2 linked regions of the Oryctolagus cuniculus genome follow. The protein of the gene in region 2 purifies or fractionates together with the protein of the main gene of each other region. This does not show direct contact. Links are inferred from orthologs where the notes say so. Each region holds a gene or a part of one and is shown on either strand. Other genes may lie near its edges. The genes, in order: EIF5 and EIF3G.

The links.
Region 1: the proteins of EIF3G (region 2) and EIF5 purify together in Homo sapiens (affinity purification with western blotting; 3 studies listed by BioGRID and IntAct, with this or other methods). This does not show direct contact. The link is inferred for Oryctolagus cuniculus from reciprocal best matches to the Homo sapiens genes EIF3G and EIF5.

The regions. Positions count from the first base shown.
Region 1 is NC_091451.1:46,204,409-46,208,875, reverse strand, and holds the start of EIF5 (eukaryotic translation initiation factor 5), read right to left. Parts: upstream 2,806-4,467; 5' UTR 2,667-2,805; intron 2,543-2,666; 5' UTR 2,332-2,542; intron 1,705-2,331; 5' UTR 1,497-1,704; coding exon 1,425-1,496; intron 1,342-1,424; coding exon 1,260-1,341; intron 715-1,259; coding exon 542-714; intron 350-541; coding exon 238-349; intron 1-237.
Region 2 is NC_091447.1:67,187,305-67,191,630, reverse strand, and holds EIF3G (eukaryotic translation initiation factor 3 subunit G), read right to left. Parts: upstream 3,092-4,326; 5' UTR 2,963-3,091; coding exon 2,943-2,962; intron 2,803-2,942; coding exon 2,756-2,802; intron 2,454-2,755; coding exon 2,370-2,453; intron 2,269-2,369; coding exon 2,180-2,268; intron 2,059-2,179; coding exon 1,999-2,058; intron 1,601-1,998; coding exon 1,496-1,600; intron 1,400-1,495; coding exon 1,210-1,399; intron 1,030-1,209; coding exon 922-1,029; intron 841-921; coding exon 704-840; intron 612-703; coding exon 505-611; intron 438-504; exon of another isoform or gene 304-437; coding exon 288-303; 3' UTR 198-287; downstream 1-197. Other genes in the region: suppressor of SWI4 1 homolog, read left to right, coding at 1-175. UniProt on the Homo sapiens protein: RNA-binding component of the eukaryotic translation initiation factor 3 (eIF-3) complex, which is required for several steps in the initiation of protein synthesis.

The sequences.
Region 1 (4,467 bases), on a different chromosome or scaffold from region 2:
CCATCCAGCTCTCTGCTATGGCCTGGGAAAGCTGTAGAAGATGGCCCAAGTCCTTGGGCCCCTGCACCTGAGTGGCAGACCTAGAAGCAGCTCCCGGCTTCGGATCAGCGACGGCCAACTGGGGAGTGAACCAGCAGATGGAAGAGCTCTCTCTGCCTCTCCTTCTATGTAACTGACTTTCAGATAAATAAATAAATTTAAAAAAAAAAATCTTATTAGTTTAGTATGAAGCCTTACCAGGTGGGTTTTTGAGAATGAACGTGCAGAGTTTATGATGTGTGTCAAGCATGCCTCGATAGCCACAGGCTTTACAAGAATTGCCTATTGTTTGCTTCTTCGGATTGACATGCTGGAAAAGGAAAAAAAACCATCATAAGAAATGAGAGACGGCGACCTACTTAAAAAAAATTGTAGGTGCGTTGTTTTCTAACAGCAAAGTGTGCCTTGCCTTCCCAGGAAAGGCAGTGCTACCACAGGATTGCTCAGAGGCAGGCAGATGGTTTTGTCTGTTCCAAACAAAAACCCTGCTGCATTCACTCACCAGATCTGTTTCAGGATTCTCACACTCAGGACAGAGAACAAATTTTTTAATGAATCCATCCAACATGTCTTGCAGCTTATTCGCCTCATGAGATCCATTGACAATGTAACGGTCATTCTTAACATCAAACTGGGTCTGTGCTCCCAGCTCACAACCAAAATATTTGGTGGGATCTATTTGGAGAAAAACAATTAGATTTGCCTCATTACAGTTAACTAAATGTCTGGCTGCTTGTTCATATCTTACACAAAAATCACTGTTTTTAAGTTGTTGGGCACAGAGCTAGTGGTGTAGGTAAAGCTGCCACCTGCAGTGCCAGCATTCCATATGGACGCCTGTTTGAGTTCCAGCTGATCCAGCTCTCTGCTATGGCATGGGAAAGCAATGTAAGGTGGCCCCTTGCACCCAACTGGGAGACAAGAAGCTCCTGATCAGCTCAGCTCCAGCTGTTGTGACCATTTGGGGAGTGAACCAGCAGATGGACAGCCCCTCTCTCTGCCTCTCAAATCTTTAAAACAAAAAAAATCGTGCTAAATCTAATGTGCTGCCCAGGTAATTTTGTGAACTTAAGACAACTATTACATTTGTTAGAGGTTCCACTCCTTACCCTTTCAACTAATTAGCAAAGAATTCGTAAATGTTTTTCAGCTTAAAGAGGATCAAGACAATATATATTCGTCATATACCTTTTCAGACTTCTCCAAGAAGCTTTACTTACACGTTGGAGGCCGATTAAGCGCCTTTGCAACGTCAACCATGTTGACTATAACTGTCTTGATTCCATTTCCTTTGCCCTCAACCTAAAGAGAACACGAACTTTATTTTTGCATTTAATCTACTTAAACATCTACAGTCTTCCTACAAAATCGAAGATCAGCATTACCTTGGCAATCAGACGGGGCATCTTGTAGCGATAGAACTGGTCTGACACGCTGCGGTTGACGTTGACAGACATTTTGGCTTATTAGTGGCTTTATCAATAAGATGAAGAGATCTTTGATTGCAACTTTTTGGTATCTTCTGTCTGGAGAAGAAGGGATGACATAAACGACTGCAAGAGTTCTCGGTCTCTGACATGAAAAAATTTTCGCCACTGAGGCTGCAAGCTTCTTGCTTGTATGCTATGTGTCCCCAATACAGGTACCAATGGCTGCGCAACAGCTCTGCAAGAGAAGCAAAGAACACACCCGATCCCCGCAGGTGTAACGTCACTCCCGCACCGACGGGCTGCCCGCGCCACACACAGCCCCGGACCCGGCGGGGCGCCTCCGACTCCCCGACCCCGCACGCCGCCGGCGACAGACGGGGCCTCCGCGCTGGCGACGCCGCGGCCCGGGCCCGGGAACGCCGGCCGCCGCCCGCGGAAGCCCGCCCCGCCCCCACCCGCCGGGGCGGCCAGCCCTGCCCCCCGAGCCGCAGTCCGGGGCCGAGCGGAGCGTTGGCGCCGCGGCGCCGGCTTACTCCAGCGTCCGGCCGCGGGCGCGAGGGCCCGCCCGGCCCCGCGCGCCTGACCTTCGGCCCCGCGCCCTCCGAGGCGCTCAGGGGCGCCGGGCCCATCCCGGGCCCGCCGCGGCGCCGGGGCCGCCGGCCACCCCCGCCGCGGGCGCGGTGACTCACAGATGCGGCAGCGCGCGCTCCCGCCGGCAGGGCAGAGGCCGCGCCGGCTGCGGGCCGCGGGCCGCCCGCCCCCCAAACTGCGCCACACGCCGCGGCGGGTCACGCGGCGGCGCCGCCATCTTGTGCGGCCGCCATCTCCCGTCCGCCCGCCCGCCCGCCCGCCCGCGACTCACCGTTTTCGTCAAATAAAGACATAAACCCAACGCTGCTCGCCCGGGACTGGGATGAAGTGAGGCGCGTCTCAACCCGAGTCCGAGTCCGGGGCGGCGGAGGCGGCGGAGCGGAGCGCAGCGCAGCGCGGGGAGCGGCCGGGCCAGGTGCCGCCGCCGAGCAGCGGGAGGGGCTGTCCCAGACGTCCGCGGTCGGGCAGCGCGGAGCGGCGACCTGGCGCGGAGAGACGGCGCCGTGAGCCGCGGCCGGGCGGGCGCGCCTGCCCCGCCAGCCAGCGGCCCGCGGGGTCGGGGGGCGGGGAGGGGGCGCGGGGCCGCCGCCCCTCCAGCGGACTCACCTCTGGAATGTTCTCGCTCTGACTGAACAACGCCGCCGCCGCGCTCAAGCTACCTTCGGCCCCAGCGCCCGCCCCTCGCGCTAGGCCGCACTACCGATTGGCCGGAGGCCCGCCCGAGCTCGCTTTTGATTGGCCTGCACGCCGCGTCAATCGCGCCCTCTCCCCGCCCCCTCTTCCTGAGGGTCCTGTCGCCGCTTCAGCCCGCCTCCAGCCGGGGTCCCGGCTTCCTTCCTCTCCCCTCCCCCCGCTTTTCCCAGTGGCCTTCGCGGCGCAGGCGCCAGATCTCGCGAGAGAGGGAGCGGCCGCCGCGGCGGAGCTTCGTCTAGTGGTTACGGCACTCTGGGAAAGATGGCGGTTGGTTCCCCTCCCCCGTCTGCCTGAGGCTGGGCCTGGGCCTGGCTCGGGCCTGCAGCGCTCCGGGCCGCTCCTCGCGGCGGCGCGCTCGACTAGGGGCCGGGCACTCGCCCGCCGGCCCCTGCCCGGCTCCTGGATCGCGAGTGCTGCCTTTTATCCGCCTCTTTGGGCCGAGTGGCCTCGGGGGACCCTGGCCCTTGGATGGGGCAGGCCAGGGACTTCGTCGCGCCGAGCCTGGCCGCTCCCCTCCCACACCGTGGCTCCCCGGTTTCAGAAGTGGAAACCTCGGACTCGCTCGTAGCGGGGCCTCCTGGCAGCGCCCCGCCTCGGCGCAGTGTCCGCTGCGCTGCCCCAGGCTTGGAGAGCCCCGACCCTCGCTGCCCCTCTGCCGCTTTGCCCCGAGTGACCGCCCGTCGCATGGGGCCCCGGGGTGACCAGGGCGGCTGTGGCGACAGGGCTCGCGTCTTGTTCTGCCGCAGCTTCCCTGTGCTTCCAGGAACTCGGGCTTCTGCGTCCGAGTCTGAGCTGGACTCGGACTGCTGGCTGCTTCCTGGCCGGGCTCCCCGGGTCCGCACCTGGAGTGGACAGCGTGGGTGTTAACCCGTGCAGTTTGCAAGCTTAGAGGCTTTTTTTTTTTTTTTACATCAAAGTGCAGGGTTACTCTTTTTTTTTTTAATTTATTTTTTTTTATTTAATGAGCATAAATTTCCGAAGTACAGCTTATGGATTACAATAGCTCCCCCCCCCCCCCCCCGTAACTTCCCTGCCACCCACAACGCTCCCCTCTCCCACTCCCTCTCCCCTTCCAGTGCAGGGTTACTCTTCCTGGTGTTGTGGGCTCTGTAAGCCGTTCGGCCCGCCTAGTGCGGGTTAGGGAGTAACTCGGCCGTGCTGGGCAGGGTCGCGGCGGCGCGTGACTGCAGGGTTGAGGCCGGTTGGCTCTGCGTGGCTGCCCACGCGTGACGTTATTTTAGAAACTCCTGGAAAGGAAGGGCGCGCAGCTCTCCTGGGGTAAGAGGCTTTGTCCTCAGGAAAGTTTTAAATAAATACAAGGCGCCTTTTTTCCCTTGCCCAGTTTGTAATAGTTTGAGCTCATTTTAAGTTCTGGTGTGTGGCACTCACAGCCACGTTGTGAGGCTCTCCCCGCGCCCTCGCAGCCGAGTGCTCTGGCGGCGCTATCTTACTCACTGCTAGACCCCAGGACAACGTTTATTCCCATTCTGCAAATGTGCGAACAGGCCTAGTGGAAAAATTTAAGCAACTTGCCCAAAGTCATACGAGGGTATTTAAACAGTAAGTCATGGAAAATTTTGACTGACACGTCTGGTGAAAATAAAATGTAGAAACCATGCATAGTTATTTTTGTAGTATGCATTTTCCATGAAATTTTTGAAGACCCCTTGTGTGCCTGGATTGCAGGCTTTTTTGTGACAAAACAACCTTTTAA
Region 2 (4,326 bases):
CCTGGCTGTGTGCGTCCACCCCCTGCTCTACATGGCTGTGGCCCCCAGCCTGCGCTGCTGCCCCTGGGGCCCGAGCCCTGGCCCGGACCTGCCCCTCCAGGCTGCGCCCGCCCCCCGCGCCCCCCACCCCAGCCCCCGGGCCCCTGAAGCGGCCAGGTCCGGCGAGCAGGGGTGACAGAGTCCACACACACGAGGGAGCACTTTGAGCCTCTTTACTGCCCCGAGCCCCCTGCCCCCCGGGCTGCCGCTCGTCACGCAGGGCGCAGGTGGCGGCCGCGGCTGCCGGCTTAGTTGGTGGACGGCCTGCGGGGAGAGGGAGGGAGGGAGGGGGGCTGACGCGGCTGGCGCCTGGGACCTCAGGGTGTCCCTGGGCTCCCTGTGGGACCTCCGCGCGCGGGGACGGGCCCTGCTGCAGGCCAATAAAGCGCTGTCGCTGCACACAGGCTCGGTGGCTGGGGCAGGGCGGGGCGGGGGGGGGCGGGGCGGGGCAGGGCGGGGTCTTACTTGGCCCACTCCACGTTGAGGATGAGGTGGTCGTAGCCGAAGCCTGACACCCCGGCGATGGCGCGCGCGGCGTCCTCCCGGCGGTGGAAGCTGATGAAGGCGAAGCCCTGGCGAGGCAGAGCCCAGGTCAGGGTCCTGCCCACCGCCCGGGCACCGCCCTCAGCCCCAGGATGCACGGCCAGGCCCGGGCCCCGCCCACCTTGGACTGGCCAGTGGTCTTGTCCTTGGCCAAGTAGATGCGGGAGATGGAGCCGAAGGGCCGGAAGAGCTCCTGCAGGTCCGTCTCGCGCGTGTCCTCCGACAGGTTGGTGACGCGGATGGTGGCGTTGTCGTCGGCTGTGTGGGCGGGGCAGCTGGCTGAGCGGGGGAGGCCCCGCCCAGCGCCCGCCCCCCCCACGCCCAGGGCGCCCAGCTCACCTCGGCGGTTGGGCTGCATGGACTCCCCGCGGCGGCTGGCGCCGTCGCGCAGGCTCGGGGGCACGTACTTCCCCGTCTTGTTCTGGGCGGCCTGCACGGGCTCCAGCTCTGCAGGACGAGGGCGCCGGCGTCAGGCCCGGCGGGCGGCCCCCAGGGCACGTCCCGGACGCTGGCACCATCTGCACGCGCTGCCAGCAACACGGGCACCGCCAGAACCCACGGGGGCGCGCAGGCCCGCAGCACACGGGCAGGGCACGGCCAGGGCACGGCCAGGGCCCCCGGGCCTACCTCCCGGCAGCTTCTCCTTCTCGCCCGTGGACAGCCCCAGCTGCTCGGCCAGCTCCTTCTGCATGGGCCCCAGCGTGTCCTTGTAGGGGCAGCGGGTGGTCCAGTGGTCGCCCTTGCAGATGCGGCAGGACACGATCTTCTGGCCCTTGAGCTTGTTCATCGGGTCCTCCTCCTCCTGGCAGTTCAGGTCCTGGGGGGGGCGGGGGTCAGCGGGGAGGCGGGGGCTCACGGCCTGCACCGCCCCCGACTGCGGCCCCACCCCGCCCCCACCCGCGGCCCCGCCCACCTCTTTGCTGGTGATGAACGTCATGGAGACATCGTCGCTGACCGTGGTGGTGGCCACGTTGGGCCCCGGCGGGTCAAATTCCGAGTTCCCAAACTTCTTCCAGTTCTGGGCTCCGGGGAGGGGGTCAGGTCAGGGCAGGAGCGGGCGACGGCCCACAGCCTTGGGCACCCACATACCACGGCAGCCACCCCGCAACAGGGGCAGCTGCGGCTCCATGCCAGGCCCAGGCTGGGGGGGGCAGGCGGGGGTCCCTCCCCGGTGAAGCCAGCACCACCAAAGCTCCCGGCCTCCCTGGGTCTCTCCGGGCGCCAGGGGCTTGGCACGGGGCCTGCCGCCAGCCAGGGGCACAGCGGGGGAACCCCCTCCAACCCCAGCCGCTCCTGCACCCCGAGTTTCTCAGGGCCCCAAGAGACATGCAGACACCCCGGCCTCCGGAAGCTCAACTCCCCCTGGAACAGGGGTCCCCAGCTCCCGGGTCAGCCCTGCGGGGGCGGGGGCCTCACCTTCCTCCTCGCGACAGCCTTGGAGGCCTTCCGGGTCTCAATCCTGAAGGTGCGCACGATCTGCAGGTGCGAGGGCAGTGGGTGGGCCCCCTGCACCCCAAGCCCCCGCCCAGGGCCCCGGCACGCCCCTCCCCCAGCCCACCTTGAACTGCCTGCACCCCAAGCCCCCGCCCCGGCCCACCTTGAACTTCTTGCCGTCCTCATCGATCTTGTACTCGGTCACCGTCTTGATGTTCCCGTTGATGACCTCCTTGGGGGGCGGCAGTGGGGCTGAGGAGGGGGACGGGGAGGGGAACTGAGCCCTGGGAGCGGCGGGCCGGGCGGGGGGTGGGGGTGGGGTGGCCAGGGCCGCGGCGGAGGCTGTCACTTACCCCCGGGCAGCAGCTCAGGCTCCGGGCTGGTGTCGCCGGTGGCCAGGGGGATGCCCTTGAGCAGCTCGCTGGTGACACATTTGTCTGCAGGAGGGGGCGGGCGGGGGTGAGCCCCAGGGGCGGGGGCAGCCTGAGCAGTGGCCAGGGCACGGGGGTCCTTGGCGTGAGGGTGGGGCACGGGCCGGGAGACCCCGCGGGCGCCACGCCTGGCCCCGGCCCCGAGCAGGACGGGAGGGGTCAGTGGGCTGGCCCCGAGGAGGGTGGCGCGGGGCGGGGGCCGCGCGCGGAGGTGCCGGGGGGCCCTGAGCAGTGGCCAAGGCAGGGGCCAGGCCCCGGCCCCGAGCGGGGCGGCACTGCCCCGGGCCGGGGGCCGCGTGGGAACTCACCGTCCTCGCCCTCCTCCTCCACCTGGTCGGCCCAGCTGGGCTTCGAGCTGCGGGGACAAGCGTGCGGGGACAGAGCTGGGGCGGCGAGGCCGGACGACGGCAGCCCCGCGCGACCCAGGCCCCCTAAGAGTCCCCCAGGACCCCCCCACACTGTCTCCCGAGACTCCCGCCGCCACCCCGGACTCACTCAAAGTCTCCCGTCGGCATTGCAAAGTCTTCTCCACGCAGCCCGAGCCCGGGCCAGAGAGCGGAAGTGGGGGAGGAAAGAGACTTCCGGTTCAGCCGCCGCCGCCGCCTAGAGCGACCCGGCCGAGGATGCTCGCAGCGCCCCCGTGCGGACGGGCGTGGAGGCGCCGCCGTGTGCGCTGGTACCCAAAGCGGGTAGAGGCGGCTAGGCGCCTCCCAGGGTTGACCGGAAATGCAACATGGACGCCGGTTCGAGTCCCGGCTACTCCATTTCCGATCCCGCTCCCTGCTAATGCACCTGGGAAAGCAGCGGATGGCGGTTAAAGGGCTCAGGCCTCTGCACCCACGCGGGAGACCCGGAAGAAGCCCCTGGATCCTGGTGTTGGGCTGGCCCAGGACTCTGCTTGTTGTAAACATCTGGGGAGTGAACCAGCAGATGGAAGATCTAATTGCCTAATAAATACCTTTCTTAAAGACTTGACAGGAGAGTTTCAAACAACCCAATTTTAAACAAATTTTTATTTCAGAGGCAAAGACACCAGTGGGATGTCCTATCTACTGCTCACCCCCTAAAAATGCCCAAAGCAGCCACAGCTGGGCCAGGCCGAAGCCAGGAGCCGAGCACTCCATCCGGGTCTCCCACAGGGGTGGCGGGAACCCCATTCCTTGAGCCGTCATCACCTCCTGCCTCCCAGGGTGCTGCAGGAGCTCCGATATGGGGCCCCGGGGACAGCCGCTAGGCTCAGGACCCGCTCCTGGAGTTGCCACGTCTGCTAACGTCCAGTTATGGACGAGCTGTGGAGGCACAGACAACGTAAGCTCTCTGTGTGGACACAGCAAGTACTAGGCTGACTGCTGGACACCACGGCCCAGGGCAGACACAGCACCGTCCGGGGTGGTGGAGCCCGGGCAGGAGGGAGCCGGGAGGCACGCCACGGGGCTCCACTTCCGATGCGGCTCTCTGCTGTGGCCTGGGAAAGCAGTGGAGGATGGGCCAAGTCCTTGGGCCCCTGCTCCTGCACGGGAGACCCGGATGGAGCTCCTGGCTCCGGATTGGCTCAGCTCCAGCCGTTACAGCCATTTAGGGAGTGAACCAGTGAATGGAAGACCTTTGTCTCTCCCTCCAGATAAGTCAAATAAAATCTTTAAAAATAAAACCGCTGGGGCGGGCAGCCGTTCAGACACAGCTTGGGCCGCGCCGGCTCCCCTGCCGAAGTGGCGGAGGCTCTGCCCCAGCTCCGCTTCGAATCCCAGCTTCCCGCTAACCCAGCGGCGCCGGAGCCTCCCGTCCAAGGAGAGCAGGGCCGAGTGCGCAAGGACGCTCAGGGCCCTGCGGCTGGAAGGGCAGGAAATCAAGGGTTTTGTAAACTTGGCGTTCCCCTGGG